Sus scrofa: one gene and its partner. The protein of the gene in region 1 purifies or fractionates together with the protein of each later gene. This does not show direct contact. Links are inferred from orthologs where the notes say so. Each region holds a gene or a part of one and is shown on either strand. Other genes may lie near its edges. The genes, in order: CDCA5 and PDS5B.

The links.
Region 2: the proteins of CDCA5 (region 1) and PDS5B purify together in Homo sapiens (affinity purification with western blotting; 4 studies listed by BioGRID and IntAct, with this or other methods). This does not show direct contact. The link is inferred for Sus scrofa from reciprocal best matches to the Homo sapiens genes CDCA5 and PDS5B.

What each region holds. Positions count from the first base shown.
Region 1 is NC_010444.4:7,106,500-7,110,119, reverse strand, and holds part of CDCA5 (sororin), read right to left. Parts: intron 2,342-3,620; coding exon 1,904-2,341; intron 1,738-1,903; coding exon 1,657-1,737; 3' UTR 1-1,656. UniProt on the Homo sapiens protein: Regulator of sister chromatid cohesion in mitosis stabilizing cohesin complex association with chromatin. May antagonize the action of WAPL which stimulates cohesin dissociation from chromatin.
Region 2 is NC_010453.5:9,013,427-9,017,713, reverse strand, and holds the start of PDS5B (sister chromatid cohesion protein PDS5 homolog B), read right to left. Parts: upstream 3,021-4,287; 5' UTR 2,818-3,020; intron 1-2,817. UniProt on the Homo sapiens protein: Regulator of sister chromatid cohesion in mitosis which may stabilize cohesin complex association with chromatin. May couple sister chromatid cohesion during mitosis to DNA replication.

The DNA of each region.
Region 1 (3,620 bases):
CACACCACACCCTCAGCTCCAGCTCTGACCCAGCAAAAGAAACAGTCTATGAACAGGCAGCAACTCTTTAATTGATTGTTTAAAAAAATTTTTAAGACAGTTTTCCCTCAACTCCATTTAGTTTGTCAGGGGCAGAGAGAAGTCTGCAGATAGGACATCAACTCAACATCATTTGACTACTCCTGATTCTGCAGGACAGACACCTCCCAGGAACCGTCCCGCCGCCAGCCAGTGAAGACAAGGTTCCTCGGGTGTGGTCAAGGGCATCTGGGCCCATCCTGGCAAAAGGGCTTGCTTATGGCGTCTGACAAAGCACCAAGCGCTGGACAGGTGGCCGGGGACCGCTAGGCCCCACCGAGTTTAATTAACGCCCACTAGGCTCGAGCCATTTCAGGTACCCTAACACGCAAGTGCTCAGCTTCCCTGATGCCCTCTGCGGTCTGCGAGCCCCCTGCCCCTTAGCCTCTATGTCCATGAACCTGCACACGTCAAGGGCACCGTGGCCTGCACGATGGTGGAAGTTGTAGTTGGACAGCCTTTGAAAGTTCACCTTTTGTCAATATTGAGCAAAGAGAAACAGGGGCTGGGGAGGGGGGATCCCCAGACAATGAGATGACCCCCCTCCCGCCCGAGTTCAGCCCCTAGCACCTACCTCAGGCAGTGCCCTCATGTGAGAGGATGCTCAGGACGCTGAAACTTAAACTGCTCTCCACCCTGGCCCCTTTCCGGCCCATGAGAAAAGCTTCCTAGAACCTTATAAAAGACTAATGTCACCCAGACCATTCAATCCCTACGTTTTTCTTCCAGAGCTGAGCAGACTAACAAACAGGTGTGAGTGACAAGAGGGACCCCTTCCGGCCCTCTGCTGGCATCAGTCCGAATGCCCTGAGCCTCAGGTTCTGTGGCATCTGGAGGCACCTTCTTTGCCCCAAGCAGTCAGTGCCACACCAGCCTGGCGCTTAACCGAACATCCCAACAGCAGAACACACAAAACTATCGAACACAGCTTCTATGTAGTAAACGTGTACAGTCTGAGACCCAGCCAAGTCTTCCCTTCCTCCTTCAAAACTCAAGACTCCATAGGCTGCGTGTCCAGCTTCCTCCTTGGAGAGAACAGCCTCCAATCCACGGGGACAGTCCTCCTGGACCCTCTACAGAACCTAAGAGGATACCCGAGCCTCGTGGCTGGGAACCAAGCCCCAGTAGCGGCAACTCAGAAGACAAAGCCTGAGTCTGGCTGTGGCCCTCAGCATCCATTTCTGGTGGGGCTGCTGCAAAGCAGACACATTTCCCAACAAGAGCACAGATGCTCTCTTTCACTCTCAACTCCTGGCCCTTTAACCTCCTCTGGCTGGGCCTGTGAGTCCTACTCCCTAGTCCGTGGCCCAGCTGGAAACCAGCTGGGATGCTCCAGGAGGTAGGAGGGCAGAGGGTCGTAGGTCACCGACTACAGACAGGACACCAGTGTGTGGCTGGGCCAGGTGGGCCCCGTTTCCTGAAGCTAAGACGGCCCAAAGGACAGGCCTTGTGTGCAGCAATAGCACGTGCACGGGTAACAAAACCAAGGGAGGGGACCCCAAGGGGCTTCTCCACAGGGCGAGGGGATTATGTACAGGGGGAAGAGGGCAGCGTGGCCAGGTACACCCCCATCTCATCTCATTCAACCAGGAGATCAAACTGCTCAGCAGCTTCAAACTCAGCATTCATGGCCGCAGCCCATTCATCCAGCTCCGATTTCTGGGGGAAGAGAGATGGGGGGGCAGGTGAGTGGGGAGGGGAGCACATTGGCTAGAGCGCCTCGTCCCAGACCCTGGAGGCCCTGCCTTTCCCCCATAACAGCCAGGGCTGAGCCTCGGCCCTGCAGTGCCTGGCACATCTCCCCGTGCCCCTGCCCCTCACTCACCAAGATCTCTGGCACCTTCCTCTTCTTCCGTTTCTCCTTCACGGCTGGTGGCGAGATCCCAGGGAGCGTCGTGTCTGGTGCCCAGGGCTTCACAGGGACCCTGGGGACCTCAGTTAACTTTGAACCCACCACAGGTGAGACTCCAGCCAAGTCTTCTGTGGCCAGCAGCCCCTCAAAGCCAAAGCAGGACCGGCGGCCCGGGGTGGAGGTGGAGGCGGAGCCAACAGTCTCCAGGCGGCTGTAGGATCGCCTGACTTTCTTTGACATTTCCAAGTCTCTGGCGTCCAGGTCTCCTTCCCCTGAATTGGACTCAACGTTCAGGGAACACAGCACAGGAGTGGGGGTGGGAGTGACAGGGACACTGCGTGTCTGGAAGAGGTCCTCCCTAGTAGGCTCCTTGCTAGGAGGGTTGTTTTCTTTCTCCAAGAAAAACGCGATCTGTACCAGGACAGGAGAGAACGCCTCCCTGTTAGTTGTTCTACTTCGAGAAAGGCCTGATTTAGGGCGGAAAGACCGACCCGGGGGCACTTTAGAATGGAAAAGTGGAGGGAATTCCCGTCGTGGCTCAGTGGTTAACGAATCCGACTAGGAACCATGAGGTTGCGGGTAAATCTGACTGGGAACCATGAGGTTGTGGGTTCGATCCCCGGCCTCGTTCAGTGGGTTAAGGATCCAGCATTGCCATGAGCTGTGGTGTAGGTCGCAGACGTGGCTCGAATCCCGCGTTGCTGTGGCTCTGGCTGGTGGCTACAGCTCTGATTAGACACCTAGCCTGGGAACCTCCATGTGCCGCGGGTGCAGCCCTAGAAAAGGCAAAAAAAAAAAAAAAAGAAAAGTGGAGATGGGTCAGGAAATACATCAGACCAGAGACAGATGTGGGATGGGGAAGAGACCAGCCGGTCACTGTTCCTGAGTCCACTTTCGTGCCCCAAGAGGACCGGCCACCACCCCTTGGAGCCGCCGGCTCTGGCTCTAAAACATGACTGCAATCTACCCACCTGTGACGGGTGCCCCGGTCCCTGTCCCTCCGGCTCAACACCCTCCTCGCCGCCCTGCCCACTCTGATCCGTTTGTCTCACAGCTGGTGATGATTTTCCTAAAATGTCCACCCAGCCAATAAGTTCTTAATGGTCACCTGCCAGGCACCGTTCTGGGCACTGGGAGCCAGAAGGGAGCAAAACAGAGAAAACCTGGCTCCATGGAGCTTCCACTCTAGCGGGGGAAATAGGTAACCGGGAGAGTCATATCGTCCATCAGAGGCATTAAGCACCTTGGGAAGAGAGAGAGGAGGGGAGGGTGCCCCGGGAGTGGGCTGGAACTCGGGTAGGTGCAGGGCAGCGGAGGCCTCACTCGGGTAGCACGTGAGGTATGACTTGAAGAGCTGAGGGAGTAATTTAACTGGGAGGGAGGCAGGGAGAACAGAAAAGTCCTGGGGTGAGAGTGTGCCAATCGGGGTCAAGGAACAAGGCCAGCGTGGCCCAAGGGAGAAGTGAAGAGAGGACCCGAAGATGCAGCTCAGGTGGTAATGGTGGCGTCGGAGGCGCTCTGTGGCCACAGTAAGGGGAGACCCATGGAGCCTCTTGCTCCGGGACCCAAGGAGCCACGGGAAGGGTGGGAACAGTGCCTAATCTGACATGAGCATTAAGAGGCTCACATATTGGCTCCTCGTAATTCCGATCTCAGCTCAAATGCTGCTTCCTCAGGGAGGCCACCCTCC
Region 2 (4,287 bases), on another chromosome or scaffold:
ACTACCCCAATTCCACCATAAGGATATAACTGTGACTTTGGCTAAACCATTCAAATTATAATCTGAACTAATGTCTCATGCATATGATAAGTGAGGTGGAAATCATCTATGTTTCCTTATAGCTCCCTAACACTAACAAAGGAAACACAAATCTACTCTTTTGAGTATATATACAGTACTTGTCATCAAAACCAAATCACTGTAAGCTCTCCTGTAGGTTCTAGGCACACATGATGAAAAAGTAGCACTAAGGAAGCCACAGGACAATCCTACTACTCAAAGAGGGAGAAGCAGAAAGAATACAATCTTCCAAAATATTCCCCCTGACACAAAGTTTTGGTTACCATTTACTTTTCACCAGAGCAAGCCCTAATATAGAGTATTGCTTTATTTTAGGCCTAACCAATTATTGATAAAGCCTAGTCCTCAAAACATAACTCTTTGTGACTGTTAAAGTTTCAAAACAACTTTAAACTTAAAAATGTTATCCAAAATCCAACTCAGTACAACTACTTATCAAATAAGCTAGTACAACATCCCATGACAACAAGAATCACTATCATCACTTTATCTCCTCTAATTCTTGGGGAAAGTGATGGAAAAGAAAGCATAAGCATACAAGAATGAAAGTGACAAGAAGAGTAAAAAGCTACTGTAGGGGTGGGAATGGTTTAAAAAAATTAATTTAATAAAAAGCTTCTGTAAAAACAAAGTTAATGCATGGATAATCAACCTCAACAAAAGAAAAATAAGAAAGAGCACAAAAATTCTTCAAGGCAAAAAAAAAAAGTCAATACAAACACTACCATGTCATTTAAAATACACCTTCAAGTAAAACCCAGAGATTTTTTTAAACCATCAAAAAGGCAAAAATAAATAACTACTTCAGTAATCAAAGAATGTCTAAAACGCACCTTTTCTATATACACTTGTAAATTCATTTTGAAAGAATAATGTTCTGACTTAATTTTTTTACACCTAAGTTTTTCAAAATAAATCTATCTTAACATAAGAAGTTTCATGTTGAAACTTTCACCTATATATTCACCACTACAAATTTTAATTAGGTTTTCTGCTACTACTCAGTGATACAAAATTAACTGTTCCACAAACTGACCTGCATACACCATAAGAATGCTCATTTTACGGTTCCTAAAAATGCTAACATTTCTGACATATGCAGTGCATAGATAAGTGTCTTTTCTAACCCTTATTTTGCTTAATACCATTTTTGTGTTTTTAACTATTTTACTTGACTACTGTATAAGTTAGAACAGAAAATACTCTATCTTGGGACTTCACATACATATGCTGAGAACAATGATTATACATACTGCCATCGAGGTTTTGGGTTTTTGTGGGGGGGTTTTGCCATTCAAGTTTTAAATAATTATGACTCATGTACAGCTCGCCTCTTATATACATAAATAAACTTGGATTCTTAATGATTATTAGGAAGACAGCCGGTGACCCCCAAATCACTCAAGACCACAGACTAAACCTTCGAAATCAAAGGCTATATCCAAAATTTCCGAAATGGTTTAATAAACAGGGTTGGTAGGGTCGTTCAGGACAGTACCGTCCAGCCATCATTTCATAATAAAAGTATAAGAGCGTTCGAAGTACGTTTTTCAAAGTCAAATAAAGGGTTCTCTTTTGGAGTTGATTAGGATGCCCAAAACGCTCTTTCCAACCCTATCCCGAGTTTGCACGGGCCGCGGAGGAACGGAGGAAGCGGCAGTTCTGAAGCGGAGGTGCTACGTTTCTGGGTTCGGAGTCATTCCCTCGAATAACTGTACCAGGGCTTAGCGTGTCGCGGCTTCAGCGCATGTACCAAGAGGCAAAGCAGCACAGAACCACAAACAAGCTTTTTCTCCCGACCAGAAACTTTTCAGGTGTCAGTAAGATAACAGACTCAAAAAAACGTCAACCAGACACCGTTTGCACTGTCGTTCCAATTCCGAGGCTTCCTAAAGGAAAGCTAGGACTCAGTGGTCGCCAGGGAGGAGCCACTCCAGCCCGTCTGGACTCTTCCCCAACTAGGTCCTCGGGTGCCCCCAGCACCAGCTCCAAGAGGCGCGGTGAGCGCGCTTTATCTCTGGCGACTGGCAAGTAACCGTATAAAAATGTCACTCTATCGGCCCTTGTCGTCGCCCGGAGCAGAGGCTGCGCGGAGCGGGCCCGGCGCGGGGGACCCGGCCGCGGGGGCGGAAGGGCCGAGGCCCGCAAACCGCCCCGGGGTCAGCCGGGACCCGCGCTCCCCGCCCCTCGCCCGGAAGGGGGAAAACCCGCCCGCGGGAGGATTCAACAGGAGCGCCGCGCCGCCCGCCTGCCGCCCGGGAAACAGCCGCCGGCCGGCCGGGCGCGGGGGGGAGGGGCGGCGGCGGGGCGCGGGCTGCGGGGCGGCCGGGCAGCCCGGCAGCGGGCGCGGACCCCCGGCGCGCGCAAGGTCACCGCCCGCGGCCCGCCGCCTCCGTCGCCGCGGGCGCCCCGGTCGGGCCAGGGCGGCAAGTTTAATTTCCAGAGGCTGCGGCTGAGCCCACGGCGTGGAGGGAACACGGCGGCCGAGGGGCCCTCCCCACCCCCCACCGCACAGCCGGGCCCACGCCCCCGGCCCGCGCCCCACTCCTCCCGGCCCCGCCGCCGCCAGGCAGCCGGCGGCTGCAGCCCCCGATGCCTGGAAGCGAGTCTCGGCTGGCAGGCGGGCGGCGCTTGAGCCCCGCCACAGACACAGCCGCGGTGGCGGGCGCTGAAAAATGGAGCGCGGCGACCAGAGAGAAGAGACATTTTCTTCCCGTTAACTGAATTGTTTCCTACCTCCGGGTGCCCGACTCGTTACTCCTCTCACTCCGCTGCTCTCCGGGATCCGCCGCCGCCGCCGCATCCAATCGCCTCCTCCCCCCCTCCCCTTCCGCAGCCAGCCCCGCCGTTCCTCCTCCTCTCCGCTTCAAAATGGCGCCAAGAGCTCTTCGGCGGCTGCTCCAATCGAACCGCCGCGGACAGCACCGGGGGCAGGCAGAGCGCCGCGTGGGTGCGCAGCGCCCCCTGCCGACCGGACAGCCTCGCGCGCGTGCCCGCCGGCCTCCCCTCCGCCCCGCCCCGTGCGCCCGCGCGTGCCCGCCTCCGCCCCGCCCGTCGCGCGCGCACGCAGTCACACGGGCACGCCGCCGCTGTGACATCGAGACCCGGGGCTGTCAATGCTTTCTCTGCTTCTAAGGCTTCCTTGACTTTTGCCGAAAACCACGTAAATTGTTATATACCTCTACCTTTATGGATAAAAGTTGGGAATTTTTTAAAACAATGAAACAATACTAATATCGTGCTAAGTAAATAAAATTGATGTTAACTACTTTGCTCCTTGCTAACGCTGACCTAGTCATCTCAAAATGCCCTGAGTTGTTTTTGTTTTTGTTGTTCTTGCACTTTATATGTTATGTCTTTACTTAATCTCACAGCTGTCCCATTTTCAGGTATTGTTTAGGCGGTGGCTGCGAGGACATAACAAGTCCACCTGTAACAAAGCATTCCATTCATTTTATCACAATTGTCCTTATTACAGGGAGAAATAATCTGAAGAACACAAGGAAGTCTTCTGGGAGGTGGATTTCTAACCCCCTTCACCTCCAGGGGATGCCGCTCCTCACTTCTGCAGCTGTACTACGAGTATATTGAAAGTTCATCTGGGGTCCGTCGTGGCGCAGTGGTTAACGAATCGACTAGGAACATGAGGTTGCGGTTCGGTCCTGCCTTGCTCAGTGGTTAACGATCCGGCGTTGCGTGAGCTGTGGTGTAGGTTGCAGACGCGGCCGGATCCCACATTGCTGTGGCTCTGGCGTAGCCGGTGGCTACAGCTCTGATTCGACCCTAGCCTGGACTCCATATGCCGGGAGCGGCCAAGAATAGCAACAATAACAACAACAACAAAAAAAAGACAAAAAGACAAAAAAAATTAAAATAAAATAAAAAAAAAAAAGAAAGTTCATCTGGAGATTTACTATTAGGATGGAGAGAGAAAAAAAAATCTCTGAGGATTAAATGAAGCAGTTGCTTAAAAAAAAAAGGAACTATGTTGTATGCAATAGCAAATGGATTTACAGAAATTAGTAATATAAACCTTCATTTAAAGCAACACTATTTAGGGAAACAAATCTGAAGTTGGTATTAAAAGAAATTAGTATTAAAAATAAATGTCTGTCTTTAGGGCTTTAAAAAAACCGAATGTGAGGGGAGGGTGTATATGAGAAATCTCTGTATCTTACTCTCAATTTTGCTATAAACTTAAAATTG